4 linked regions of the Anolis sagrei genome follow. The protein of the gene in region 2 purifies or fractionates together with the protein of the main gene of each other region. This does not show direct contact. Links are inferred from orthologs where the notes say so. Each region holds a gene or a part of one and is shown on either strand. Other genes may lie near its edges. The genes, in order: CD44, SQSTM1, VDR and SPRED2.

The links.
Region 1: the proteins of SQSTM1 (region 2) and CD44 purify together in Homo sapiens (affinity purification with mass spectrometry; 3 studies listed by BioGRID and IntAct, counting the BioPlex papers as one, with this or other methods). This does not show direct contact. The link is inferred for Anolis sagrei from reciprocal best matches to the Homo sapiens genes SQSTM1 and CD44.
Region 3: the proteins of SQSTM1 (region 2) and VDR purify together in Homo sapiens (affinity purification with western blotting; 3 studies listed by BioGRID and IntAct, with this or other methods). This does not show direct contact. The link is inferred for Anolis sagrei from reciprocal best matches to the Homo sapiens genes SQSTM1 and VDR.
Region 4: the proteins of SQSTM1 (region 2) and SPRED2 purify together in Homo sapiens (affinity purification with western blotting; 3 studies listed by BioGRID). This does not show direct contact. The link is inferred for Anolis sagrei from reciprocal best matches to the Homo sapiens genes SQSTM1 and SPRED2.

What each region holds. Positions count from the first base shown.
Region 1 is NC_090021.1:268,957,931-268,964,769, reverse strand, and holds the start of CD44 (CD44 antigen), read right to left. Parts: upstream 3,009-6,839; 5' UTR 2,675-3,008; coding exon 2,608-2,674; intron 1-2,607. UniProt on the Homo sapiens protein: Cell-surface receptor that plays a role in cell-cell interactions, cell adhesion and migration, helping them to sense and respond to changes in the tissue microenvironment.
Region 2 is NC_090022.1:86,649,221-86,656,675, forward strand, and holds the start of SQSTM1 (sequestosome-1), read right to left. Parts: upstream 3,009-7,455; 5' UTR 2,922-3,008; coding exon 2,735-2,921; intron 1-2,734. UniProt on the Homo sapiens protein: Molecular adapter required for selective macroautophagy (aggrephagy) by acting as a bridge between polyubiquitinated proteins and autophagosomes.
Region 3 is NC_090022.1:191,049,268-191,056,357, forward strand, and holds the start of VDR (vitamin D3 receptor), read right to left. Parts: upstream 3,002-7,090; 5' UTR 2,752-3,001; intron 1-2,751.
Region 4 is NC_090021.1:154,161,784-154,169,408, forward strand, and holds the start of SPRED2 (sprouty-related, EVH1 domain-containing protein 2), read right to left. Parts: upstream 3,021-7,625; 5' UTR 2,603-3,020; coding exon 2,553-2,602; intron 1-2,552. UniProt on the Homo sapiens protein: Negatively regulates Ras signaling pathways and downstream activation of MAP kinases. Recruits and translocates NF1 to the cell membrane, thereby enabling NF1-dependent hydrolysis of active GTP-bound Ras to inactive GDP-bound Ras.

The sequences.
Region 1 (6,839 bases), on a different chromosome or scaffold from region 2:
AATGGCAAAAACAAGAGCACATGAAAATGACATTAGAGCAAACATCCTTAAACTGTTATTGGGGTCTCCAACTCCAGAATTCCTGACCACTGAACAAGCTGGCTATAGCTTCTGGGAGTTGGAAACCCAAACAGCTGAAGAGTCACAGTTTGAGGATGCTTGAGTTAGAGAAACGAAATCTACTCAAGTGGTTTTACCTAAACAGTTGGTCTGCTTTGGTGGTACCTAAGGAACTGAGCTACTGTCTTCCACAACTTATTGTGTCATGTAATATGGAGTGTTGAGAACTGCTAGGATTTCTATTTGAAATCCCAGCAGCATGGCTTATTTGAAGAAAGTGTAATGAAATTTTAACAAGAAGAGAAGGCAGGTTCTATGGTTGACCAAAAATAGCATAGAAAGTAATGATGTCACCAGCTCTCCCAGTATGAGTGGTTTCCTTCAAACATTTTCAAGTGTGGCATTGGAACAGTTATGAATCTCCAACACAACTTCTGGTAACTTATAAACAGAAATCATGGATATTGAATCTGTGAATAATGGGGTCAAACTGTATATGTTGAACTGAGAAAAAGTTAAATGTCGATTACAACTTTGTGAGCTTCATGAATAATCAATAAACCTTGGAAAAGTTACTTAACTGTGCAGTCCATAAAATCTAAGCCAGCAATGACCAGCTAGAGATTTCTAGAATTGTGGTCAGAAAGTAATTTTTCCAGGCTTTGACAAATCCAGCTTTACTTTCAAGTCTCACTAGCCTCTATCCAACACTATGGACTAGAATTCTATATCACATTAACTGGCTATCATAAAAGTAATATAAATGCTTTCTCTAGAGAGAAATTCCCTAGGGAGCTGAAAGTTATTTGAGAGAACCTTCACATCCTACCTGTTATTTACACATATATTTATTTCATTCAATGATATTACATTTGGCCAAAATGACATCGCAATACTGTCCCTTGAAAATAGGTTTACTGGAGATACAAATGGGGAAAGTATTTATACCACCAATGATCTTAACTCCATGAAAAAGCCACGGTCCTTAGCTCAGTGTGGGGTGGTGAGGAGAGATTTTCATTTGCAAAGCCATTTGTGACTACAAAGCTTGCCTGGAATGTACTGCATACCAACAAAAATATTCTGTAGCCATATCATAATACTTTGTTAAGCTTTTAAAAAGTTTCCAGTGAAGCATAGATGGAGCATGATATACATTTTGTTAACCGCACCAAAGAGTAGAACACATGGGGATAGTGGCTTTCTTCCATCTGTTCAAGAAAGCTTATGCCCAACATAATTGCAGGCTACAGTTACTTACTGAAGTTCTAATAGTTCATAGAAGATCAATGCTAAGTAAATAAAAGTATAACTAATCTACAGAATACATGTATATGCTACATGTATTCCAACATTTAAATCACACAAAGGTATCATATATCTCACAGAGAGCAAGAATGCTGTCTTATATATGGGAAATGCACACTCAAGTATCTGACTTCTTTTAAAATGAAACACACAATAATCACTGGGACAAATGCAATACTGGAATTTTTTCCCCTGATGATTCCAAAACGTGTTTGGAACTGTGTGCTCTGACACACCCATTTGCAGAGCTACAAGCATGCTGCAGTTTATTTCTAGATGCCCAATTAAATATAAAACTATCAAGAAGGCAATGAAAAAGTGTTTTGTTAGCCTCCCAGGAACTGGTTTGGGAGGGGAAATAAGGGGGAAAGGATAATAGATTCCCTTCAAAGCAGCTCAAGGCAATTTCTATTAACAATGAGTCTCTGTTAAAGGCACAATTATTACTCGTACTTCTGTATCGCATCAAACTTTAAGAGCATTTTATCATTTTGGGCATAGACATGTGATTTTTCTTAAACACATGAACCACTTTCATTCTCCAAATAAGCATTTGATTTCATTATTCACGGACGGACTTCAGAAAACTAGTTTTAGAAAATGAGTGATCCTCTCTTACTCTGACTGCAAGTTTGCTTCCAAATCTCACAGCCCTTGCTCAGATTAAGAGCTTTTAAAATGAGCTAGCATTTTCAACTTTTTCTCTTGAGTTAAATGCTCACATTTTCATCCCTGTTACAATGAAAAGAAGGCATTACAGCTTCTGCATGTCTTATGTATGCAATCACATCTTTTTCACAAATACGTGAACACAAAAATACAGCTATTGTAAGGCAGAAGTCATTCCATCCCTCCCAAACACACACCAGACTGTCTGCTTCACAGAAAGAAAGCATCAAAAATAAATACATAACTGCGGTTTCCATCACTGAATATAATCCAGATGTGTTAGAAGCTTTTTCATTCCCTAGTATATACTGTTAACTTTAACTATCAATATTCTCCCTTCAGTTTTTATAACTTCTGCATTTCTATACTTTTCTAACTTATATACAGAGGCATTGGTAAAACAATGCACATGTTACAGTTCAGTGTCATGGTCATTGGAGAAACAGTGAAATGTCAAAGAAACTGAACATGCCAGAAATTCTCCAGCTGCCAAACTGCCACTGTTTTGTTATCGAAAACATACGAAGAGAAATCAGCAAGTATGAGAGATTTCATTCATAAGTCACTTACCTATCTGTGCTGAGCAAAGCTGCAACAAGTAAAGTCCAACAGCTGCACACAACCAGAACTTGGCCATTGTTTGCTCCTCGGGTTAATGTGCAAAAGGCAAGAAGTTCTCCTCACAGCCTATACAAAGGAGAGACGAGGGGTGGGGGAGGTCCCAGGTCTTGTCAAGTCTGCTCAGAGAGCCAGCCTCTGAAGTTTGCTGCAGTTCTTATTCCAATTCAAAGTAACTGAAGGAGTGACTTAAGAGGGAGGGGAGCAAGATGAGAAGTCACACCCATGTTGAAACAAAAGTGACTAGGCAAAAAGGGGAGGAGAGAAGGCTACTACTTATGAGTAAGCACAGTTACTAGCAACATTTAATGGAGGCTGTAAATGGCTTTTACTCATCCCAGTGAAGTCAGAGGGACAGTTGTGCTGGAAAAGATGTGCAATGCCATGTGGTTTTGGAGAGGGAGGGAGGGAGGCTCTCCCAAAGCTTATTCAGGCACCTAGAATTATTGATTTTCTAAAATGAGCTTTAATCCCTTTACCCTTCTCTCTCCACCCCACCCCCCCTACATGTTCACTGCAATAAGCAGAGAGCACAAGCAAGAAATGGCATTACATTATGGCTCTGCCAGGAGTCTTCTCTTGATCCAATCATCTCTGCAGCAGACATCATAAATCCATTTATGTTTCTATGCAGCTCTGCAACATCATCCACCAAAAGTGTATTGCATATTTCACAGAAGACGGGGATATATTTTTTCATTAGTTTTCTTTTTGTGGTTCTGAATCCAGAAATGAAATGTCTATATAAGAACCAGGATGAAATGTGCATACTCCAAATGCAGGTACCATACACATATTTCCCCAGGGAGAGAACCAGATAGCATAAATCAGAATCCCAGACCTCTTTAGATTACTATAACTAAAACAAGCCTAGTAAAAAAATTAGAGAATGGGAGAGAATTAAATTTCATTTCCCAAGGCTGGACCTACAATTTGGCAAAGGAAAATGGCCACCTTCATCCACTGGCATGAAGTGTTGATCAATGCAAAGCTGGGATTTAGTTTTAGGACTCTCTGTGGATGTTCAAGTTCCTTTATAAATAGCAGCATAGTGAAATGGTTTCACTTATATAAAATGGCAAAATCAAGGCTTGCTTTGGGGCATTTTAAAAAAGTATTTTCAAGCCATGGATGGTTATATTTGTGGGTGCAGAATCCATGGATGTGGTGGTCTGCCTGCATTAATGTTAAAAATTTAATAACAGTGAAGAGTACGGGAGGATATTTTTTTGACCTATGTATCGAAATGCAGTACGAGGGGCCATGGTGGTGTAGTGGGTTAAATTGCTAAGCTGCAGAACTTGCTGACTGAAAGGTCAGCAATTTGAATCCACAGAACAGGGTGAGTTCCTGTTGCTAGCCCCGGCATTACCAACCTAGTAGTTTGAACACATCCAAATGTGAGGAGATCAATAGGTACCACTGGCAGGAAGATAATGGCACTCCATGCAGTCATGCTGGCCACTTGACCTCTTCAACTTAGAAATGGAGATGAGCACCACCCCCTAGAGTCAGACTCGACTAGACTTAATGTCTAAACCTCAGCAGACTGAAAGCCAAAACCAAGGTTACAACAACATCTGTTATAGAACTCCAGTATGCTGATGACAATGTTATCTGTGCGCATTCAGAAGAAGATCTACAAGCCACTCTAAACACCTTTGCAGAAGCATACAAGAAGCTCGCCCTGTCATTGAACATCGAGAAAACCAAAGTGCTGTTCCAGCAGTTACCAGCCAACCCCTCTCTAATGCCAGAGATACAGCTTAATGGTGTAACATTAGAAAATGTTGACCATTTCCACTACCTTGGCAGCCACCTCTCCACCAAAGCCAACATTGACACCAAAATACAACACCGCCTGAGCTCTGCGAGTGCAGCATTTTTCCGAATGAAGCAGAGAGTGTTTGAGGACTAGGACATCCGTAGGGATACCAAGGTGCTTGTCTATAAAGCTATTGTCCTCCCAACCCTGCTATATGCCTGCGAGACATGGACTGTCTACAGATGTCACATGCAACTCCCGGAGTTGCGCTGCCTCTGGAAAATCATGCAAATCTCTTGGGAAGAGATGACAAATATCAGCATGCTGGAAGAAGCAAAGACCACCAGCACTGAAGCAATGGTCCTCCGCCATCAACTCCACTGGACCGGCCACATTGTCCGGATGCCCAACCACCGTCTCCCAAAGCAGTTACTCTACTCCGAACTCAAGAACGGAAAACAGAATGTTGGTGCATAGGAAAAGAGATTTAAAGTTGGGCTCAAAGCCAACCTTAAAAACTCTGGCATAGACACTGAGAACTGGGAAGCCCTGGCCCTTGAGTGCTCCAGCTGGTGGTCAGCTGTGACCAGCAGTGCTGCAGAATTTGAAGAGGCATGAATGGAGGGTGAAAGAGAGAAATGTGCCAGGAGGAAGGCGCATCAAGCCAACCCCAACCAAGACCACCTTCTACCTGGAAACCAATGCACTCACTGTGGGAGAAGATGCAGGCCAAGAATAGGGCTCCACAGCCACCTATGGAGCCACAAGAATACAGATCATGGAAGACTATCCTACTCGTCCAATGAGGGATCGCCTAAGTAAGTAAGTAAGATTTAATGTCAAGGGGAAACCAATACCTTTTTATCAAAATACGGTAATTGCCCACCCTGGGTAGTATGTTTATATAATTTATGATAGTGGATGGAAAGCTACTACTACTTTGTATCAGCAATGTCTTAATCCCACACTGTCATAATTTCAGAGCCGTCCCACACAGGCTTAATTGTTTTGAAATCAAGCAGGAAACTATGACTTCTGTGAATAATTGCCCCATATTATTTCAAGAACCATCAGCTGTGGAAGAGCCTGAAATAATTAACTATTTCAGGCTCAACTAGCAGCCTTTGTAGCAGTTTAAATTAGGAATATATCGTGATATATTCCCAATTTAAACAGCTACAAAGGCTGCTATTTGATTCCTGAGAAAAACATAAAATTGCTATGTTGTTGCAATTCTGGATCATATGTATTTGATAAAATGTTGGGGGATCCTAACCACAGAACTCCCAAGTTACATCTAATTAATTACATACTGAAATGCTTGTTTTTGTTCTTGTAGATTCAAATGCTATTTAAGATAGACTGAACACATTCTATTAACAATAAATACAAACAAAACTTATTCCAAAAGGCACTTATAGAACTGTCCTCCACCCCAAAAATCTCCTCATTCATCTTGTTAAAAGAGACATTTTTGGCCAATTTAACCAACAGCACTTACATTTTGTGTTGACTTACCAAGTTCCTGTTAATTTAGTGAGACTAACGATTATAGTTAAACCAGAGAAACCATCTAGTTCAGTATTTGGATTTGACAGTTAAGGGTTCATCTACACCAGTGGTTCTCAACCTGTGGATCCCCAGATGTTTTGGCCTTCAGCTCCCAGAAATCCTAACAGCTGTTAAACTGACTGGGATTTTGGGAGTTGTAGGCCAAAACACCTGGAGACCCACAGGTTGAGAACCACTGATCTACACTTTGTACAGTTTGACAACACTTTACCTCTCATGACTTAATGCTATGGAATCATGGAAGTTAGAGTTTCACAGGGTCTACAGCTTTCTCGGCCCAATAGTGCTGGATCCTCACTCCAACTCCCATGATTCTATAGCATTGAGCCATAGCAGTTGCACTACTGTCAAACTGCATTAATTTTATTGTGTAATATTAGTTTACTATCTGTGAAGTTCACTCCTGGAAGTAGGCAGCTCCTGGAGCCCTTCCACCCCAGCCCTATATCCCAGATTATCAAGGCAAAAAATCCCACATTATCTGAGTGTGGATTCAGATAACCCAGTTCAAAGCAGATATTGTGGGATTTTCTGCTTTGATATTCTGGGATACAGGGCTGTGTGAAAGGACCCTCAGATCATAGAATCATAGAATCAAAGAGTTGGAAGAGACCTCATAGGCCATCCAGTCCAACCCCCTGCCAAGAAGCAGGAATATTGCATTCAAATCACCCCTGACGCAATTGATATGCAGATATGCACATCGATTTCTCACTCTTTCTCTCAATTCCACCTTCCTATGTCTTCATTCTTCTTGTTATGTGACATCAAGTCATTTCCAATTTATGGTGATCCTAACATGAACTTATAACAGAGTTTTCCTAAAAACATTTATTTAGAGGAGTTT
Region 2 (7,455 bases):
GGCCTCCAGCAACTAGGTCCACCCCACACATTTCTGTTATTCGCTGCAGGATCGCATTTACAAGGAGAGGCACGATGTGGGTTATGCACACATTGTTAGGAAGCGGAACAGGCCATGGCCCGTAATTGTTTTTAATGCCACTTCATAACCCTGTAAGTTGTAACCTGTGCAAGTATTACCTCTGAACATGAGCAGAAGACCTTTCTAAACCAACTGCTAGAGCCAGTCTCCACTGGCAAGCTTTTAGGTGGCAGACTGCCATTTCCAAGCAGATCTGGGCCTTTAGTTCAAGAGACTGACCACTGTTTTAAATTAGTATTAAACTAGGCTGTGACACCTGTTCCACATTAGTACAGAATATCCAGCTGGGGTTGCCAACTTCTTTGTGTGCAAAGGCACTGGATTTTTAACTGCTTCTCGACACAAACACTCAGTAAGAGAATGCTTCCCACCATATAACCTTGTCACTAAAGCCTAATACCAGATGAGTTGCCACTGCTTGCTGCGTGCCTGTAGCACATTGACTTATGGTGATCCCGTGAGTATCTCTGGGATTTCTTCTTGTTGTGGTGAGCCTCCAAGTCGCAGGTGGCGGCCCTAAAGCAAATCTATCATGGGGTTTTCTTGGCACGGTTTGTTCAGAGAGAGACTATTCTCCAGAGTCCTAGTCCAATACTCAGAGTACTACACTACACTGGCTTTCTTACATGAAGAGTAATCTAGTTTGGCCAATTCCTCTGGAATATAATCTACAGCATGTATTGGTTGGCAGCCCCCCATCCAAGAACTAACCAGTCCTGAACCTGCTTAGCTTCCAAGGTCAGACAAAATCTAGGGTACTTAGGGGCCAAGTAGGGTCCTTTCAGACAGGCCCTGTATCCCAGGATCCGATCCCAGGTTTTCTGCTTTAAACTGGATTATAGGAGTCCACACTGCCAGATAATCTGGGATAAACAGAAAACCTGAAATCAGATCCTGGAATATAGGGTCAGTCTGGAAGGGCCCTTAGCCACGAGTTACACAGTGCTTCTGGACATTCAACCCACCCCCTCCCAAAACCATATCTGGCAGGAAAAGCAATAATTTCTAGCTGCCGCCGCCTTCTTCCTGGACCTTGATCTGCCACTTCACAAAGCAAAAGCCCAGCTGGTGAGGTGGAGCAATGTTTACCTTGGAGAAAAGAAGGCTGAGAGGGAACATGGAGTGGCTTAGACCTTGGAAAGAATGTCACAGCAAGGTGGGGGGGGGGGATTAGTACACAGAGCAATGGATTCAAATTGCAGGGAAAAGATCCCACTTAAAAATTAGGAATAGCTTCCTAATGGTATGAGCTGTTTAACAATGGAGTGCGCTGCCAGGGAAGGCATCCCTTTCCCTGGAGATTTTATATCCTTTTATACATCCCAGATTATATGGCAGTGTAGACTCCAAGCAGACAACCTGGGATCGGATCCTGGGATATAAGGACAGTGCAGAAGGGGCCTAAGTGGCCATCTGTTGGGAGTGCTTTGGTTGGGTGTTACTGAATGGACTGGGTGGCCATTGGGATCCCTTCCATCTCTATGGCTCGATTCTAGGGTTGGCAGTCCCTTGCTATATTTATTTAGTGGGACTGGTTGTGAATCCCATAACAATGGGATGCCAGATCATCTCCTTCCTTGGGAGCCTTCTAATCAGAGGCATGATGGCCATCTGTCAGGAGTGCTTTGATTGTGGTGGGATGGGGTTGCCAACTTCTTTGTGTGGGATTAGGGGTCCCTTCTATGGCTCAATTCTAGGGTTGGCAGTCCCTTGCTGTATTTAGTGGGGCCAGTTGAGCATCCCTTGACAACAGGATGCCAGGGAGAGCACCTTCTAATCAGAGGCTAGATGGCCATCTGTCGGGAATGTTTCCATTGTGTCAGGATGGGGCCGGATGAGCATCCCTTGACAATGAGATCCCAGGGAGAGCATCTCCTTCCCTGGGGGCCTTCTAATCTGAGGCTGGATGGCCATCTGTCAGGAATGTTTTGATTGTGCCGGGATGGGGCCGGTCGAACATCCCTTGACAATGGGATGCCAGGGAGAGCACTTCCTTCCCTGGGGGCCTTCTATTCAGAGGCTGCATGGCCATCTGTCGGAAGTGCTTCAATTGTGGCGGGATGGGGTCAGATTAGAGGTCCCTTCTATGGCTCGATTCTAGGGTTGGCAGCCCCTTGTTGTATTTAGTAAGGCTAGTTGAGCATCCCTTGACAACAGGATGCCAGGGAGAGCACCTCCTTCCCTGGGGGCCTTCTATTCAGAGGCTGGATGGCCATCTGTCGGGAGTGTTTTGATGGTGCCAGGATGGGGCCGGTTGAGCATCCCTTGACAACAGGATGCCAGGGAGAGCACCTCCTTCCCTTCTATTCAGAGGGGGCCTTCTATTCAGAGGCTGGATGGCCATCTGTCGGGAGTGTTTTGATGGTGCCAGGATGGGGCCGGTTGAGCATCCCTTGACAACAGGATGCCAGGGAGAGCACCTCCTTCCCTGGGGGCCTTCTATTCAGAGGCTGGATGGCCATCTGTCGGGAGTGTTTTGATGGTGCCAGGATGGGGCCGGTTGAGCATCCCTTGACAATGGGATGCCAGGGAGAGCACCTCCTTCCCTGGGGGCCTTCTAATCTGAGGCCGGGTGGCCATCTGTCGGGAATGTTTCGATTGTGGCGGGTCGGGGCTGGATGTCCCCTGGGGGCTCCCACATTCCTTGACTCACCCTTGTAGTACATCTGGAAGGCGCCGGCGGGTCCGGGGCTGGCATTTCGGAGCAGGCCTTGGAAGAGCTCGGCCACCTTGTCGCGGATGGGCTGGAAGCGGGGCGGCCTGTCGAGGGCGAAGCGGCGGATCTCGCGGGTCACCTCTTCCTTGCCTAACAGGTAGGCCTTCACCGTCAGCGGGGCCATGGCGCAGCAGGAATTCCTCCGGACCGGCTTTCTCTCTGCCCTGGGCTCCAGCGGGGACTGCCTCTGCGCCTTGCCGCCCGCCCCGCGGCTCCTCTTATAGGCGGGCAGCGGAGGGGCGGGCGGAGGCTGGGAAAGCCCCTGCCTGGGGAGGACGGGCCAAGGAACAGGCAGGGAAGGAGGGAGAGAGAGAGGGAGGGAGGGAGGGTGACGCAAGGCCAAGTGGAGAGACATCACGCCACTGAAGAGCCTGGCAGTTTCCAGAAAGAGAGTTTGGTTTGTTTTTGTTTGCAAAAGGGAGGGAGGAGGCAGAGCCCCTTCTACACCAGGCATGGGCCAGCTTGGGCCTTCCTCCAGGTGTTTTGGACTTCAACTCCCACAATTCCTAACAGCCTACCGGCTGTTAGGAATTGTGGGAGTTGAAGTCCAAAACACCTGGAGGAAGGCCCAAGTTGGCCCATGCCGAAAATGAAGAATGACAATGTATCAACAACAAGGAAGGAGGTGGAAACATAGAAACGCGTGGCCTGGGCTTGGGAAAGGGGGTTGAAAGCCCCCTTGTCAGCGTTACTCAGCACCTTCTAGTTCTCCAAGCCCTGCGGGGGAAACAAGGGCGAACTTTGCCCTGCCGCCTCCCTGGAGCCTCCCGAGGCAGGCGCCGCCTCTTTTTGTCCAATTGCTGACTCACTGCGCCTTGCTTCCAGTGAAAAGGTAGGTAGGCCTCAAAAGGCACCTGGCTGCCCTGCCTGGCCCCACCTTTCCCTTCAGGTGTCGGGCCCAGAAGGGCAGAAGGGTCCCAGGACTCACCAGCCCCTCCTGAATCACACCCAGGTGGGCAAAACTGGCCCCAAACTGCATCAGGACACATCAACACTGACCATTTAGTGCTGTTTCAAACCAGTATTGATGAAAACAGTTTCACTGTGCAAGTGTTTACATAGGAACCAGATGGAGACCAGGATGTTTTGAGACCAGGATTCGTTTATGTTTTGTATACACCATATTTATTTATTTATTTATTTATGTATTGTATTTGTATACCACCCTTCTCAGCCAATCGGCGACTCAAGGAGGTTTCCAACAAATCAGTACATATAAAAACATAATACAGATAAAAACATTAAACAATATAAATAACCACAAAAGCAATAAAAATCATTAGCGTCTCATTATTATCAAGCATTGTCCAGTTCCATTGTCAAATCTTTCCTATATTAGCTACTCTGCATTTGTAAACTCTTGCTCGAACAGCCATGTTTTAACTTGCCTCTGAAACGTTAAGAGGGAGGAAGCAGATCTAATCTCCATAGGGAGGGTGTTCCATAGCCAAGGGGCCACCACTGAGAAGGCCCTGTCTCTCATCCCCGCCAAATGTACTATAGACGAAGGCGGGACCGAGAGCAATCTTAGAGTCCCCAGACGATCTTAGAGTCCCCAATGATTCGTAAGGGGAGACACGTTCGGACAGGTAAGTTGAGCCAGAACCGTTTAGGGCTTTATAGGCCAAAGCCAGCACTTTGAGTTGGGCCTGGTAGCAAACCGGCAGCTAGTGGAGCTGGCGCAACAAGAGGGTTGCATGCTTCCTGAGCGCCTTTCCTGTTAGCAACCTGGCTGCTGTTTGTTGGGCTAGTTGAAGCTTCCAGACCATCTTCAAAGGCAACCCCACGTAGAGAGCATTGCAGTAGTCTACATGGGATGTATAGACTACTGTATATACACATAAGGTAAAGGTAAAGCTTTCCCTTGACATTAAGTTGAATCATGTCTGCTTCTGGAGGTTACAGCTCATCTCCATTTCTAAGTAGAAGAGCCAGTATTATCCCTAGACGCCTCCAAGGTCTGTGGCCAGCATGACTGCATGGAGTGCCATTAACTTCCCTTATCTATTGATCTACTCACATTTGCATGTTTTCGAACTGCTAGGTTGGCAGAAACTGGGCCCAGCTCCCTGGATTCGAACCACCAACCTTTCAATCAGCAAGTTTAGCAGCTCAGCAGTTTAACCTGCTGCCCCACTGATGTTTCCCAGAAGTAATATTATTTACATGTCTGAGTATGGATACAAACCCTTGTTTCCAGAATCAGTCCAATGATATTTTTTTCCATCTCAGGGGCAACTTGAGAAACTTCAAGTTGCTTATGGTGTGAGAGAATTGGCCATCTGCAAGAACGTTGCCCAGGGAATACCCGGATGTGTTACCATCCTGTGGAAGGGCTCTTATGTCACCACATTGGAAGCTGGATCTGACAGGCAGGAGCTCACTCTGCTCCCCAGCCCAAATGTGGGAGGCTTCTTTCATGTCCCTGCATGGAAAGCTGGAGCTAACAGATGGGAGCTCACTCCACTGCCCAGATTCAAACCGCCAACCTTTTGGTCCGCAGTTCTGCTGGCATAAGGATTCAACCCATTGCCCCACTGGGGACTCCTAGTCAAATTTCAAAACCATTACACACACTGGCTCATAGAAGATCATTAGTTACCTGCTGTCCTGTTACCTGGATAGAGTTCCCTTTCGAACACATGAACTTTGTCCATTCTCTTTCCAGAGGTTTCTGAACTCCAAAACGATAAGTTTGCTGTTTGTTATATTATCTGCTGAAGCCTGCCAAAGGGGAACGAACCCAGTTGAGAAGGAGCCCAGAGTCATACTCCAACCCTCAAATCACTTCATTATGGTGGCTCAGGATGACCGTTGCAGGCAGCCCCCAAGTCACAAACATCTAAATTTCAAACAACTCATAGTTAAGAATGGAGGTGAGACAATAGGAAGTGAGAGGAATCTGCCCGTCAGGAAGGAAATTCACTCCCGAAAGAGTTATCAGGGGGAAAATTGGTATCCACAGAAGCTTTCTCACCAATCCTTGTTTCCACAGCATACCGGAGGTTTTGAAAGCCAATTATCACAGTGACAGAAAGTGTGGTAAACTCAGAACAGGGGCACAGACAGCAAAACAAACACCATTTAGCTGTTCCATAGAAATTCAACTTAAGAACAAACCTACAGAACGTATCCTGTCTGTAACTTGGGGGCTGCCTGTATGAAGTTACAGTCCATGCCCCCTGATAAGGAAGTACGCTTTGTTAGAAGCAACCAGGTTCATTTCTGTGTATATACATATGATATTTATACACATATATTCGATATATGTATTTGTGTGTGTGTATACACACACCCAGTTAACAACTACATAAATAAAGGAATTTAATGGGAGGAAAGATTGTTAGGAAGGTATTAAATTAAAATGATGAATAGGTGATTCTGTTGGATGTCCTCATATCATCAATAGAAGCTCACACAGGCCAACCTATGTACAAAGGTGGAAAAATTCAGATCACTGATCTTCTATATGTACATTGTACAGTATATGTACATATCAGTGATTCTCAACCTGTGGGTCCCCAGATGTTTTTGGCCTTCAACTCCCAGAAATCCCAATAGCTGGTAAATTGGCTGGGATTTCTGGGAGTTTTAGGCCAAAACACCCGGGAACCCACAGGTTGAGAAGCACTATACTATATGATCCCCAATGTATTCATTCTTTCAAAGTTTTGGTAAGAGGTGCTGATAATTTTACATTGCATTCTACTCTGAAATTGAAATAGGCTGAAAATAAATATTCAATTCAAAGATATTAAGTAATTATAAATGATTACACAACCATTCTTTCAGTTCAGTGAGTTCTGCTTCTAAGAAAACATGCGTAGATGTAACAGGAACAAATAGAGCAAGCCATCATCTTTAGCGAGCCATAGAGCAGGAGTTGCAAATGAGTGGATTAATGCACATTTGCTTACTGTTCCAAATGGCAGTATTATATTTTTAGAAATAAGATCGGGCACACCTGGGAATGATTTGTCTTTTGGACCCCCTCTAGCAGCTGACATTTGATGTTGATACTAAGGGGGTTTTTTTAGACCTGTTTGCAAAAATAAAACAACAACATATTGTAGGAAGAGACATTTATATGTTGCCTTAATGGAGATTCCTTTTGTTTTCATGTATTGTAAGTCTTTGTTAGCTGAATCTAATCTGTGTGTTCTTCTGGACATGCTCTTCTAAAACCGAACCAGATGGCAGTGAAAACATTACTGACATTAGCTATGACATTTTGCAGACTGTGCGTTGCTCAGATACAGTTGGCCTGCATCTCAAGATGGTTTGAAAGAGATGTAGCTCACAAAAGATGCTGCCTGAACCCTTGGGGAAACTGAAAGCTGATAATGAGGAGGCCAGGTTTCTATTTCATGCTGATGGCCTTCTTCTTTTCTTTTATTCCTTAGCAATACAGGGACATTACTGGCACTTTGGGTGATGTGCAGTCTATAGTCATTCTATGCAGTGCTGAGCCAGTTTGGAATCCTGGGTTTTGCAGTTTTACGAGGTCTTTAGTCTTCCAACATTGAAATCACAATACCATGCGAGCTCTTAGAATTCCAGTATTTATTTATTTAACACCAAAAGCATTGCATACATAAGTTTAAAACTGATAAAAATAGAAGGAGCACAAGTGACTACATAATTTTTGATCAAAACTG
Region 3 (7,090 bases), about 100 Mb from region 2:
AATAAACTATTATCATTATTATTATGTCACAGCAAATGAGATCTATATGCTGGATTTCATATCACAAAATCACAAGTCAAACACTTCCCAAGCGTCTAGGACTGTGTGATGTATTTTCGAATGATGCGTGCAGATCCAAGTAAGGTGGCTTTTTGCAGTTGACAGATCGTGATTTTGTCAATGTTTATTATTTCCAAATGCCGGCTGAGATTTTTTGGCACAGCACCCAGTGCGCCAATGACCACTGGGACCACCTGTACTGCTTTATGCCAGAGCCTTTGCAGTTCGATTTTGAGGTCTTGATAACGGCTGAGTTTTTCCTGTTGTTTTTCCTCAATACGACTGTCACCCGGTATGGCGACATCAATAATCCAGACTTTTTTCTTTTCCACAATTGTGAAGTCTGGCGTATTGTGTTCCAAAATTTTGTCAGTCTGGCTTCGAAAGTCCCATAGTATTTTTGCGTGTCCATTTTCTACTACCTTTGCAGGTTTATATTATTATTATTTTACTGACACAAAAACACAGTAAGTCACAGCAAACGAGATCTATACGCTGCATTTCGTATCACAAAATCACAAGTTGAATATTTCCTAAGCGTTATTGTTATTATTATTATTATTCTACACAACCATTAATAAGGAGGGCACGTCCCCTTTCCGGTTGTCAGTCTGTCAACCATATCTAAAGCCATGATCACTGAGGACCAATCCAAACAATTGACAGCCTAAGCAACATCCATCGCTTGAGAGTGAACACTACAGGGTCATTTTCTTCTTAGGACACGTCCCCTTTCCGGCTGTCAGTCCGTCAACCATATTTAAAGCCATGATCACTGAAGACCAATCCAAACAATTCGACAGCCTAAGCGACTCTCACCTATCCATCTGGATAGGTGAGAGTGAACACTAGTGTCATTTTCTTCTTAAATTGCGACAACTATGTGCAGAACTATGTACTGGAGAGTTGCTCCTTTGGATTAAAACTCCCAGAATCCACACTGCCCTATTGTGGCTGAGGATTTTGGGAACTGAGGTGTAAATGGGGCTCTGGATATAATGCACAGAGAGATGTAATCGGTGTCATGCACCGCTCTCCTCCCGTGTTGCCGCTTTGCAGTGCCTCCTTCCTCCCTTCGCTGCCATGTTTTCCTGGCCTTCTGAAGAGGCCTCCTTCCTCACAGTGTCTCCTTGGCAACGGCCTGGCCTTCTCAGGGCCTCCCTGGTGACGCTCTAGCACATTTTCCTTGATGGTTTCTCCTCCTGGAGCCTTGCTATCTATACACTGCCCTCTTGTGGTCATATTTAAACACTGCATCCATCATTTTTTCACTTTTGGGGGTCCTGTCCTCCAAAGAGGCCATGTTTTCAGTCGAAATCCCTCCATTGTTTTAAGTCAGGGAATGAAGGGTATGTGCGCCAGGTTTGGTCTAGATCCACCAAACCGCGTAAGAGCCTTTGTGGTACAAACCAACACATATAAATACATAGATAGGGTTGCTGTGAGTTTTCCGAGCCGTATGGACATGTTCCAGAAGCACTCTCTCCTGATGTTTTGCCCACATCTATGGAAGGCATCCTCAGAGTTTGAGGGGGTCAGTTGGAAACTAGGCAAGTGGGGTTTATATATCTGTGGGATGTCCAGGGTAGGACAAAAACGATTGTTTATGTGAGGTAGGTGTGACTGTTTCAATTTGCCATCTTGATTAGCACTTAATATGTTTTATGTAATCATGATGTTGTTGTTTATTGTTTGCGTTTTTGGTTTTTTATTCTGCTGTAATTTGTTGTTTGGGCCTGGCCTCATGTAAGCCACCCCGAGTCCCCATTGGGGAGATGGTGGCGAGGTATACATAGAATCATAGAATCACAGAATCAAAGAGTTGGAAGAGACCTCATGGGCCATCCAGTCCAACCCCCCGCCAAGAAGCAGGAATATTGCATTCAATGCACCCCTGACAGATGGCCACCCAGCCTCTGTTTAAAAGCTTCCAAAGAAGGAGCCTTCACCACACTCCAGAGCAGAGAGTTCCACTGCTGAACGGCTCTCACAGTCAGGAAGTTCTTCCTCATGTTCAGATGGAATCTCATTTCTTGTAATTTATTATTATTATTATTATTATTATTATTAGCCTTGCAGCTTCAAAGCCTGGCTGCTTCCTGCCTAAGGGAATTGACATTGCTAGTTAGCACAAATGTATGGCTGTCCTTTTCGAATACGACGCCTGGCAAACTATAACTGAGAACGTGAGGCAAGGGGTGCATCCACACTGTAGAATTAACGCAGTTTGACACCACTTTAGCACAAATGTATGGCTGTCCTTTTTGAATACAATGCCTGGCAAACTATAACTGAGAATGTGAGGCAAGGGGTGCATCCATACTGTAGAATTAACGCAGTTTGACACCACTTGGAACCGCCTTGGCTCAATGCTATGGGATCCTGGGAGTTGTAGTTTGATAGGGCAAAGAGAGCTAACAACCTCATAAAACTACAATTTCCATGAGTGCGTATCATTGAGCCAGGGCAGTTCCAAGTGGTATCAAACTGCATTAAGTCCACAGTATAGACGCACCTATGAAAGTTACTGACAATGTAGTAGTAGTAATAGTCCTCTGGAGAACATATAAAAGGCGGGAAAGTTATACATAAATCCATCCCTTCTCCCAACCCTTTTCTGATCTCAAACTCATTCCCCCAGTAACAACCATCACAATCACAGCCGCCCACATGATCCCAACTTTTATTTACCGGCTTCTGCCTTTCTCCGACTGAGGTCTGCTTCTACAACGTCGCCGGACACGTCCACACGCGCGCCTACACCAGATTCGCCTCGCCTCAGCTGCGCGTGCGCAGAATCCCCCTCTTTAACTTCGCTCCCGGTCCCGGCTCTCACTCACTCCCTCAAAGTCCCGCCCCCGCTTCCAGCAACCGCCTATTAACTGGAAACGAACATCTTCCTGACCACGCCCACTTCCCAAATCGTCCCCGCCCTCTAGGAGAGCGGGGCTCTGCCTTGGCTCCTCCCCCTCAAGCCCATGGCTTTTAGAGGCCCCGGGTTCTAGCCCCGCCCCTTTCCTGCTCCTCTTCTCCCACATGTGAGGGCTCAGGGGGCGGGGACAAGCGAAGCCTCCTCTCGTGGCCCCTCCCACCCTGACCCCGCCCCCTTCCTGAAGTTGGAACTCAACTTCCAAGAACAGGAAACTGGGAGTCAGCTCTCAATAAGGGATACACTCTTCACAGCTGAGCATGCTGGATGTCACAACTGTAAGATCCCAATAGGAGAGAAGTGTCCCCAAGTGACTAAGGGCCCTTCCAGACAGGCCCTATATCCCAGGAGCTGAACCCAGGTTTTCTGCTTTAAACTGGATTATATGAGTCCCCACTGCCAGATTTTCTGGGATATAAAGTGAAGCAATTAAGGGGGCTCAAACCAGGTAGAGCAGGTAATGAAAGTGTTAAAGAGATATACACTATAGTTTACAGCAGGGGTCCTCAAAGTTTTTAAACAGAGGGCCAGGTCACATTCCCTCAAACTGTTGGAGGGCCGGATTATAATTTGAGAAATCAAACAAATATGAATTCCTATGCAAACTGCAAATATCTTATTTGTAATGCAAAACAACTTACAACAATACAATAATTAAAATGAAGAATAATTTTAACAAATGCAAACTTATTAGTATTTCAATGGGAAGTGTGGGCCTGCTTTTGGCTGATGAGATAGGGTTGTTGTTGTTGTGTACTTTCAAGTCGTTTCAGACTTTGGCTGACCCTGAGCGAGGGCCGGGTAAATGACCTTGGAGGGCCGCATCCGGCCCCCAGGCCTTAGTTTGAGGAGCCCTGGTTTACAAGAAACACTGGTATGAAATGGCATCATTTAGACCATTGGGATGTACAGTTTTAAGGGTAAAAATCCAAAACAATTCACGTTGTAATAATATTCTGGGGTAATCAGAAAACCTGGGATCAGATCCTGGGATATAGGGACTGTCTGGAAGTGCCCTAAATGGACTTTAAGAGGTGGGGGTTGGAATTCCGATTAGATCATCATTATAATTTATATAGCTTTTAAGTAACCACCAGAACTACTATTAAGTTTTAAAGAATGTGTATATATAAATGATATACTGTTCATCTCTCTCTAATGAATACTTCCTACCTACCTGTCTATCTACCTGTGTGTATTTATTTGTTATTAAACCACTGAGCTTGTTGACCGAGAGGTAGCAGGTTCGAATCCGGGGAGCGACATGAGCTACCGCTGTCAGCCCCAGCTTCTGCCGACCTAGCAGTTCAAAAACACGCAAATGTGAGTAGATCAATAGGTATCGCTCCGGTGGGAAGATAACGGTGCTCCATGCAGTCATGCTGACCACATGACCTTGGAGGTGTCTACAGACAATGCCAACTCTTCGGCTTAGAAATGGAAATGAGCACCAACCCCCAGAGTGGGACACGACTGGACTTAATGTCAGGGGGAAACCTTTACCTTTACCTATTTATTTTTTATTTATTTTACTCTGCCTTTCTCCGCAACTGGACCAAAGGTGGCTTACAAACATATATGTAGAGATATATAAATGCCAATCTGAATCTCTCTTCATCCAGTTTTCTTCATACATTTTTTCTTCTTATTTTAACCTTGTTCATATTAAGATTCAACTGGCCTGGATTGTGTAGCCATAAAATCTTCCCCATGGCCTGTCAAAGATGTTTGCTGGGCCCTTCTTTGCCCATGTCATGAGTCAGACCTAGAGAATTATATAAATAATCTATATTAATAAAAATGTAATGTTCGTTTGTGGGATTAACATAACTGAAAAACCACTGGACGACTTGACACCAAGTTTGAACACAATACACCTATCAGACCAATGAGTGAACATCACTCATAAAAACACTGAAAAACACAGCAGAAGAGACATAAAAGGCCAAAAAACAAAAATTAATTACAACAAATGCACAAAACCATATATATATATATATATATATATATATATATATATATATATATGGTGGAGACATCTTTTCCCCATGATAACTCTTTCGGGAGAGAATTTCCTTTCTGAAGAATAGATTTCTTTCACTACCTTTGTGTGTGTGTAGGTACGTTTGTGTATATGTTCCCCTAGAATTTACTTCCAGTATCCCTATGGATACCAAAATCCATAAGCTGTCAAATCCCATTATGACATAGTAAAATGATGTTCCTTGTATAAAAATACTAAACAACCAAAAAATTGTGTTTCACAGATGCAGTCCAGGGGAAATTCATTTAAAAGTCTCAAGTTAACAAGGAATCTTTTAAATTAATTAAATTAAATTAATTAAATTAAATTAATTAAAGGAATAAGTTCTTGTGTTATTTTTATAATGACTCTGTTTTGGGTTAAGTTTATTTATATATTTTCATTTTGGTACAAAGGATTCCTGAAAACTGTAGATTTGGGTAGAGTGTTAGGAGTCTTACTAAAATACCTAGTACAATTTCATGTTCACATAGCTGTAGATGCATAGCACTTTAGGCCACAATAAAGTATAGAGTATGAAGTAAATAAAATGCACATTATCACAATGCAGTTACTATGCAATTGAAAGTCTTGCTTTTGGGCCAAGTCAGCGTTTCATAAATGAAAAACAGAACATGCATGGCCTAGCACCAGAGCAAGATAGGAAAAGGCATTAATGAGGGAAAACAGACCAGTTAGGAGATGCTGCCACAGATTGCTTTTGCCTGAGCTGATAGGGAAGCAGAAAACTCCAGCCATCCTTTCCTCCCACTGTGATAACTGAATACTAACTACTTCTGCATTTTTGTACTGGTCTCCTGGGCTGTAGTCCAAGATTATGGAAAACTCTGGCAGCTCCCTTCTGATTTCAACGTGGTTTGGCACTTTCCCTTCTCTGGCTGAAAGGACACAATTTGTACCTTCTGTGTGGCGATCAACAGGTTAGTGAGGTAAGCAAGGCACCCACACGCATGGCTTTTTGTCAGGAAGGAAACAATGCGTCACCATAAAGTATGTACCAAACAAGAAACAGGTATTTCGTCAAAAAGTAAAGGCAAATTATTGTTTACTTTTGGACAACACAGACATTGTTAATGGTCTGTGGTGAAAGAAAGAAAAAACTGTTCCCAAAACTCTGGAGGATAAAATATTATCAGGCTAGGATGTAAAGGGACATTTGTGGTGCTTCTTTTTCTGTGGGAAGGGAAAAAGAAACCATTTTCTCTTATCTTCACCCACTCGTCTACAGAAGCAACGTCCTGGTGGGAAAAGCTAATGCATTGCCTTTCCTAGGGTGCATCTACACTGTGGAATGAATGCAGTTTGGCTCCACTTTAATTGTCATGGCTCATTGCTAGGGAATCCTGAGAGATGGAGTTTGTTGGCAGAGAAGGCTAAATAACTTGTAAAACTGTTATTGAGCCACTGTATCCCCTTTCCAAATTAATCTGGACCAACAGAAGACTCCACAAATATATGTATGATTTCTAAAGCAGCTGAAATCCTTGGGAGGACCTAGCAGCAATTGTACCCCAAACTATCTAATTAAACCATTCAATAAATGTACTGAATCATATTTTGGTGTATGTTTGTGCTGTCGCGCGCTGGGCCTATGACAATGTTTACAGGACGTGCTTTCTGTATGCCCAACGGGATGCCGGGGTGCCTCAGATAAAGGGTCCCATAGGTTTCCCAACACAAAGTTCTTTATTAAGGTGTAAATCTTCGAATAAATGAATTAAATTCTATATAATCTTGAAAAACGGGTAGCTTTTTCGATCTGCCAAAAAGGGACAGGCAACTGCTTGATAAACTGTTCCTATCTTCTTTAGGGAAACCTTCTGACCCCTCCTTGGGCAATCTTTCTTTACCCTGCTGGCGTGAGGCCCCAACTCCCAGCTCCAAGCTGCGTTATGGATAGCCCGAGTGGCCCCTTAACAGGCAATGGTTGCTGTAGCTCTGCCAAGCTGGTGTCCTGTAGATTTGTCCCACGAAGGCCATGGAACCATTCCTTTATTTTCCAGCAAAGCTGGCTGTATTTTCCTTTTTCCCCAGCAAAAGCTTTTTTTGAAGCTTTT
Region 4 (7,625 bases), on a different chromosome or scaffold from region 2:
TGGGAGGATGAAGCTTATCCATTCCTGGCCCAAGGTATTTTGAGAAGAATTACTTGCTGTCCTTTCTCCATTTTCAGACAGTGGAATGGGCACCAGTCAAAATCCTTTGCATAGATGTCTCAGATCACACTGAGGCAAGAGTAGTAGTAGGAAAACAGCAGTCACTTCCCATTTCTAGGTTGGAAAGGCCTGGAATAAGCTCCGCTGAGGAAGCCCAACTCCTGACCCGGCCTTGTGGCCTCCCAACACTCTCAACTCAGGCTGGATCTACACTGCCCTATAAAGCCCATTTCAGAACACATTATTTGGATTATATGGCTGGATGGCCATCTGTCAGGGGTGCTTTGATTGTTTTTTTCCTGCGTGCCAGGGGGTTGGACTAGATGGCCCATGTGATCTCTTCCAACTCTATGGTATGTGTCTACACTGGCAGATAATCCAGTGCCCTTCCACAATGCCATATAACCCATAATATCAAGGCAGATAACCAACAATATCTGCTTTCATAGAATAATAAGAGCTGGAAGAGGCGACATGGGCCATCTAGTCCAACCCCCTGCCAGCAGGAAAAGGACATCAAAATACCCCTGACAGATGGTTTAAGTTTCCAAGGAAGGAGCTTCCACCAGACTCCGGGGTCTTTTCTGCCTTGATATTCTGGGTTATATGGCTGTGTGGAAGGGCCCTCAGACAACCCAGTTCAAAGTAGATATTGTGGGATTTTCTGCCTTGATTCAAAGTAGATATTGTGGGATTTTCTGCCTTGATCTTCTGAGTTATATGGCTCTGTGGAAGGGCCCTCAGCTAACCCAGTTCAAAGCAGGTATTGTGGGATTTTCTGCCTTGATTCATAGTAGATATTGTGGGATTTTCTGCCTTGATAGTCTGGGTTATATGGCTGTGTGGAAGGGCCCTCGGATAACCCAGTTCAAAGTAGATATTATGGGATTTTCTGCCTTGATTCATAGTAGATATTGTGGGATTTTCTGCCTTGATCTTCTGGGTTATATGGCTGTGTGGAAGGGCCCTCAGATAACCCAGTTCAAAGTGGATATTATGGGATTTTCTGCCTTGATTCATAGTAGATATTGTGGGATTTTCTGCCTTGATCTTCTGGGTTATATGGCTGTGTGGAAGGGCCCTCGGATAACCCAGTTCAAAGTAGATATTGTGGGATTTTCTGCCTTGATTCATAGTAGATATTGTGGGATTTTCTGCCTTGATCTTCTGGGTTATATGGCTGTGTGGAAGGGCCCTCGGATAACCCAGTTCAAAGTAGATATTGTGGGATTTTCTGCCTTGATTCATAGTAGATATTGTGGGATTTTCTGCCTTGATCTTCTGGGTTATATGGCTGTGTGGAAGGGCCCTCGGATAACCCAGTTCAAAGTAGATATTGTGGGATTTTCTGCCTTGATTCATAGTAGATATTGTGGGATTTTCTGCCTTGATCTTCTGGGTTATATGGCTGTGTGGAAGGGCCCTCAGATAACCCAGTTCAAAGTAGATATTGTGGGGTTTTCTGCCTTGATACTCTGGGTTATATGGCTGTGTGGAAGGGCCCTCAGTTAACCTAGTTCAAAGTAGATATTGTGGGGTTTTCTGCCTTGATATTCTGGGTTATATGGCTATGCGGAAGGACCCTCAGAAACACACGCTGCTGCTGCTTCTTCTTCTTCGTGAGCCTGGGACTGTTCAGGAACGGAAAAGGGCGGCGACAGCCAGCCAGCCACCGAGTAAGTCAGTGAATGGAGGCAGCAGGCTGAAGGTTACCGGATTTATGAATGTCAGTGTCACGTGACAATAACGGGAAGCTGCCTGAGTCGCCGCCGCACGGGCGGAATTCTTATGAACGAGGAGAGAGAGAGAGAGACTGGCGGCCATCCCGACGCAGCCACCTTTCCCCGCCAACGAGAGAGAGCGCGGAGAGAGGCCTGCAACTCAGACAAGAGAGAGCCCAAACAACACAGGCTCCTGGGCCTCCTTTCCGCGCCGCAGGGCTGACTTGAGAGGAAAGTTTGGGCGCGTGGCCCCTCCTTCCTTCCTTCCTCTTCTCTCCCCTCCTCCCCCCCCCTCCAGGGAAGGGAGCGCGAGGCAGCCCGCGCGCGAACTCCTGCGGCCCTCGCGGCCTCTCCTGGCCAGAGAGAGCTCGAGTCTTGTTGTTTTTTTTATGAATGGAAATGTGGTATGCAAATGAGGCTGATTCAAGAAAGAAAGAAAAAAGCAGAAGACGGGGGTTGAGGGAGGGAGGGAAGAAGAAAGAAATGGCGGATGTGAGGGCAAGGGGGCGTGTGTGTGTGTGTGTTTACCCCCACCCACCTATCCCAAAACCTGAGGAGAAGAGGCTTGCAACTTGCCTCTTCCCCCCTCCCCCTCCCTTTAGGCCTCGCGGGCAGAAGAAGCCCTCAGGTCGCGCGCGCGCAATGGAGACGCAGAGCTCAATCAAGGACGGGCGCGCGAGGGGGGGGGGCGTCGCGAGCCCTTTCCCCCACTCCTTTCCCCCTCCCCCCTCCCCTTCCAGATGTTGTTTCCCGCCTCCTCATTTCACTTACTCGTCCGGGTGGGTGTCTTCGGTCATTTTCTCCTCCTGGAAGAGGCTCATCCCCCGCTGCGGGCGGCCCGCATTTTCTTCTCCCGAGCCTCACATTGCGCGGAAGGAGAGAGAGAGAGGAGAGGAGGAGGAGGGGGGAGGGGGAGAAAGAGGGGGTGCGCGTGCGAAAAGGGGAGGGAGGGGGGGAGAGAGAGCGTTGCCCGCGTGAGGCTCAGCGCGCGGGGAAGCAGCGCGGGCCCAAGAAGAGGAGCAGCCGGCGGCCCCCTCCGAGCCCCATCGCTGCCTTTACTCCATGTTGGATTCTTCAGCGCCAGCACTCTTGAGGAGGAGGAGGAGGAAGCGGGGCGGAAGCGATGACGTGATGTGAACAGCCCAGCTGCTTTCGTGAGCCTCCCCCCTCCAACAGAGCCAGGCGAGGAGCCTCTCTCCTTCCCTCCCTCCCTTCCTCGCGGGGCTCAAGATGGTTTGGCCAAGGTGCCTCCTCCTTTCGCCCCCCCTCTCTCGCGCTTCCTGGGCGCCCCGCCCCCTTTCTCTCTCTCTCTCTCTCTCTAAGCCACGCCCCCCTCCTCGTCGCGCGCTGGCTGGGATCTCCATGGCCCCGGGCGATACATTGAGCTCTCGGAGAGTGGCACACACGCGCGCGCGCGCGCGCCGCCCTCCTCCACAGTCGCCGCCTGGAGTTTGCAATGTTTTCTGCTGCCCTGAAGTCTCACTTCCAGGGCCAAAGAGGAGGAGGAGGCAGCTTTTGGGCGGGGCTTACAGGGAGGGAGGGAGAAGCGCTTCCCCCACACACTCGAAGGGGTTCTCAGGCCCCCTTTACACAGCTGTATAAAGTCCCACGTGATCTGTTTTGAACTGGGTTATATGGAAGTGTGGACTCAGGGCCCTTCCATACAGCCATATAACACAGAATACCAAGACAAAAAATTCCACAGTATCTGCTTTGAACTGGGATATATGGTAGTGTAGACTAAGGGCCCTTCCATACAGCCATATAACAGAATATCAAGGCAGAAAATCCCACAGTATCTGCTTTGAACTGAGATGTATGGCAGTGTGGATATCAAGGCAGAAAATCCCACATTATTTGCTTTGAACTGGGATATATGGCAGTGTGGACTCAGGGCCTTTCCATACAGCCATATAACACAGAATATCAAGGCAGAAAATCCCATAGTATATGTTTTCAACTGGGATATATGGCAATGTGGACTCAGGGCCCTTCCGTACAACCATATAACACAATATCAAGGCAAAAAATCCCACAGTATCTGTGCTGTCGCACGCTGGGCCTGTGCATAAGACTGTAGACAGGACATTATTATTATTAAACTTTATTTGTACCCCGCTAGCATCTCCCAAAGGATTCGATGCGGCTTACGCAGGCCGAGGCCTCAACACACAACATAACAATACAATCTAAGCAAATCAAACAATTAAAAACAGAATAAAGCAAAATGAACAACAGGCACAATACACTAAAACACAATAAAACTGGGCCGGGCCAGAGTAATGGGTACAAGAATTAAAAGTGCTGATGTGACAGGAGGTGTATATAAGGCTTCTGGGGCAAGTGCGATGTGCGATGTGCAGCAATCATTGGTTCTGGTAAAGTGCTTATGTGCCCAATGGGATGCTGGGGCTGCCTCAGATTAAAGGCCTTTGGATTTCCTTAAACAGAGTCTTTAGATTGCTCAAAGGTTTAACAAAGTTCTTTATGATTGAAATCAAACAGGAACTTTAAGGCTTTCTTAATAGTCTATTGGCTCTCTCTCAATCTTGTCCACTGGGAACAGGCACTATCTTCATAAACCGTATTTTAACAAATGGGGAAATCCTTAATTTCTAATTGGGCAGTCTGTCTTTGCCTCTGTTGGCACGGAGCCCCTACACCTGGTACCAACTGCTTCTGGCTTCCGCGAGTGACCCTTACCAAACAGAGCTTTATAGACCTCCAAGGAAAAAAGGAGGAGTTCAGGTTTCAGTGATGGTTGGCTGAAGTGCTGTGGGACCAGATTCCCTCAGCAAAGGAGCTGTAAGGCTGTATATCTCCCTGGCCAAGCCGTAGAAGACGAAGCTTTCTGCAAGAGCTCTTGGTTTTATGTCCTGTATGAAAGGCTTCTCTGTGTGGACTGAACCAAAAAGGCTCCTATTCCCTCAAAAAACCCCAAAAGGGGGCGGGACCAGGGAACCTAACTATAATTGACAGGTGGCTTGCCCTATGATTGCAGCCAAAAAGAAGCCACCTATCTGCAGAGTCCCTGAAACTTAGGACTACAACAAACATTCAATGCAAAGCAAACAAAATTAGAGCTCCTGGTACAGTTGTACCTGCAGAGTATTTGCTTTGAACTGGGATATGTGGCAGAAAATCCCACAGTATCTGCTTTGAACTGGGATGTATGGCAGTGTGGACTCAGGGCCCTTCCATACAGCCATATAACACAGAATATCAAGGCAGAAATTCCCATAGTATATGCCAGGGGTCCTCTAACTAAGGTCCCCTGGGCCGGATGCGGCCCTCCAAGGTCATTTACCCGGCCCTCGCTCAGGGTCAACTTAAATCTGAAATGACTTGAAAGCACATAACAACAACAACAACAATTCTATCTCATCAGCCAAAAGTAGGTCCATACTTCTCATTGAAATACAAATAGGTTTATATTTGTTAAAATTGTTCTTCATTTAATTATTGTATTGTTTTTAAATGTCTTTTGCGCTACAAATAAGATATGTGCAGTGTTCATGTTTTTGTTTCAAATTATAATCCGGCCCTCCAACAGTTTGAGGGACTGTGACCTGGCCCTCTGTTTAAAAAGTTTAAGGACCCCTGGTATATGCTTTGAACTGGGATATATGGCAGTGTGGACTCAGGGCCCTTCCATACAGCCATATAACAGAATATCAAGGCAGAAAATCCCACAGTATCTACAGGGTGAGGCAGCATAACTTCCTTTTTTCAAAATTTAATTCCCATTGTATGAATCAGATTTTAATTTTTTTTTTATAATGTAGGCACATACCTAAAGTTTTGTTTTACGTAGATCAAATTAGGTAGGTGACGCCCCCATTCTCCATACACTGAGTAAACCGATTTCTGGCGTTTGTCATGACTCTTGCCAGCATAGCAGGCGTTACGTTGGCAATTTCTTCCTGGATGTTGATCTTCAAATCTTGTTGGGTCCTTGGACAGTTCACATAAACACGGGATTTCAAAAACCCCATAGAAAAAAAATCACAAGGGGCCAAATCTGGAGGGCGGGCCGGCCACTCCAAATCCGCTCAAAAAGTAGGCCTCAACGGCAAAAGCACGCTCCTCACTGTTCCAACGCATGATGGCGACTGAACTGTGTCAGGACAAAACTTTATACTCCCGCCTCTCGAACGAGACCACTAGCGCTCCACTGCGTCTTCAGCAGACTGAATGGCACGCATTTAAAAAAAGGAAGTTATGCTGTCACACCCTGTACTTTGAACTGGGATATATGGCAGTGTGGGCTCACATAACCCAGTCAAAGCAGATATTGTGGGATTTTCTGCCTTGATATTCTGGGTTATATTGATGTGTGGAAGGGCCCTTGCCCCCCTTGTACACTACCATGTAATCCAGATTTTCAAAACCAATCACCCACATGATCTGCTTTCAACTGGATTATCTGAGTTTGTTGGTAGACAGAAAAAGAGATTTAAAGATGGGATCAAAGCCAACCTTAAAAACTCTGACAATACGCACTGCGAACTGGGAAGCTCTGGCCCTTGAGCGCTCCAGCTGGAGGTCAGCTGTGACCAGCAGTGCTGTAGAATTTGAAGAGGCATGAATGGAGGGCAAAAGAGAGAAACATGTCAAGAGGAAGGCGCATCAAGCCAAACCCGACCGGAACTGCCTTCCATCTGGAAACCAATGCCCTCACTGCGGGAGAAGATGCAAATCAATAAAGTGCTCTACAGTCACCTACGGACCCACCACAAACTGATCCTGGAGGACTATCCTACTCGGACAACAAGGGATCGCCTAACTATCTGAGTTTACACACACTGCCATACAATCCAGCGCAAAACAGCCCAATAACCAGAATATCAAGGCAGAAAATCCCACAATATCTGCTTTGAACCTGGTTATCTGGGGGCCCTTTCAAACAGTCCTTATATCCCAGGATCTGATTCCAGGTTATCCCAGGGCCCATCCACACAGCCCTATATCCCAGACTATCAAGGCAGAAAATCCCACATTATCCGAGTGTGGACACAAATAACCTAGTTCAAAACAGATACTGTGGGACTTTTTTGCCTTGATATTCTGGGATATTTGGCTGTGTGGATCGGCCCTCTGTTTGCAGTTCTTTTTTATTTTTAGAGGGCTTGTTTATGGCTTCCTCAAATAAGAAAGAAGAATCCTATGTGGGGTAATAAATCATGATGGCTATGTGTTTCAAATACACAACATGTGTATTTGAAACACTATTACATAATACTTATTGGGCAATTCTCCAAAACCTCACATGGATGTACAGTGGTGCCAGTAGTGATCGGCTCCATAGGATTTAGTGGCAATGTCTTCTCGTGTGAATGGCAAACATGGCACATGAGTTTGCAGAGTATGATGAAGCTGATGATCTAATAAGAGTGATTGCTTTTGACATACACAAATGATTTCCCAGCATGGTTTTATTACAATAGCACTGCAAAGCCATTGCTTCAGATCTGTTGCTTTGTATGTCATTTCTGGGTTCAGGACGTTTAGTGGCAACCAATGAAATAGTTCTCACTCAGCTCTACTCACTTCTCAGGAAACTAGCTAGGTTGGTGTTAGGGCAACATCTGGAGGGCTATATATGCTCGCCAGCCCTTCTTATTGAATTCATTTAGAAGAATGGGTTTTTTTACATGAATCCAGCTGCCATTAGTATCTTAAAAATACTCTCACTTAACACTGGCATCTAGGTTGCTGAAAAGAGCAGGAAGTAGATTTGCCTTTTGTGTAATGCTTTATTTAAGGCTTGGAAACTTCCTTTTACTCCCTTTGTTTCTAATCACAGCCAGCAGCTATATGGTGTAAAAAAGCCTTTGATTTAGA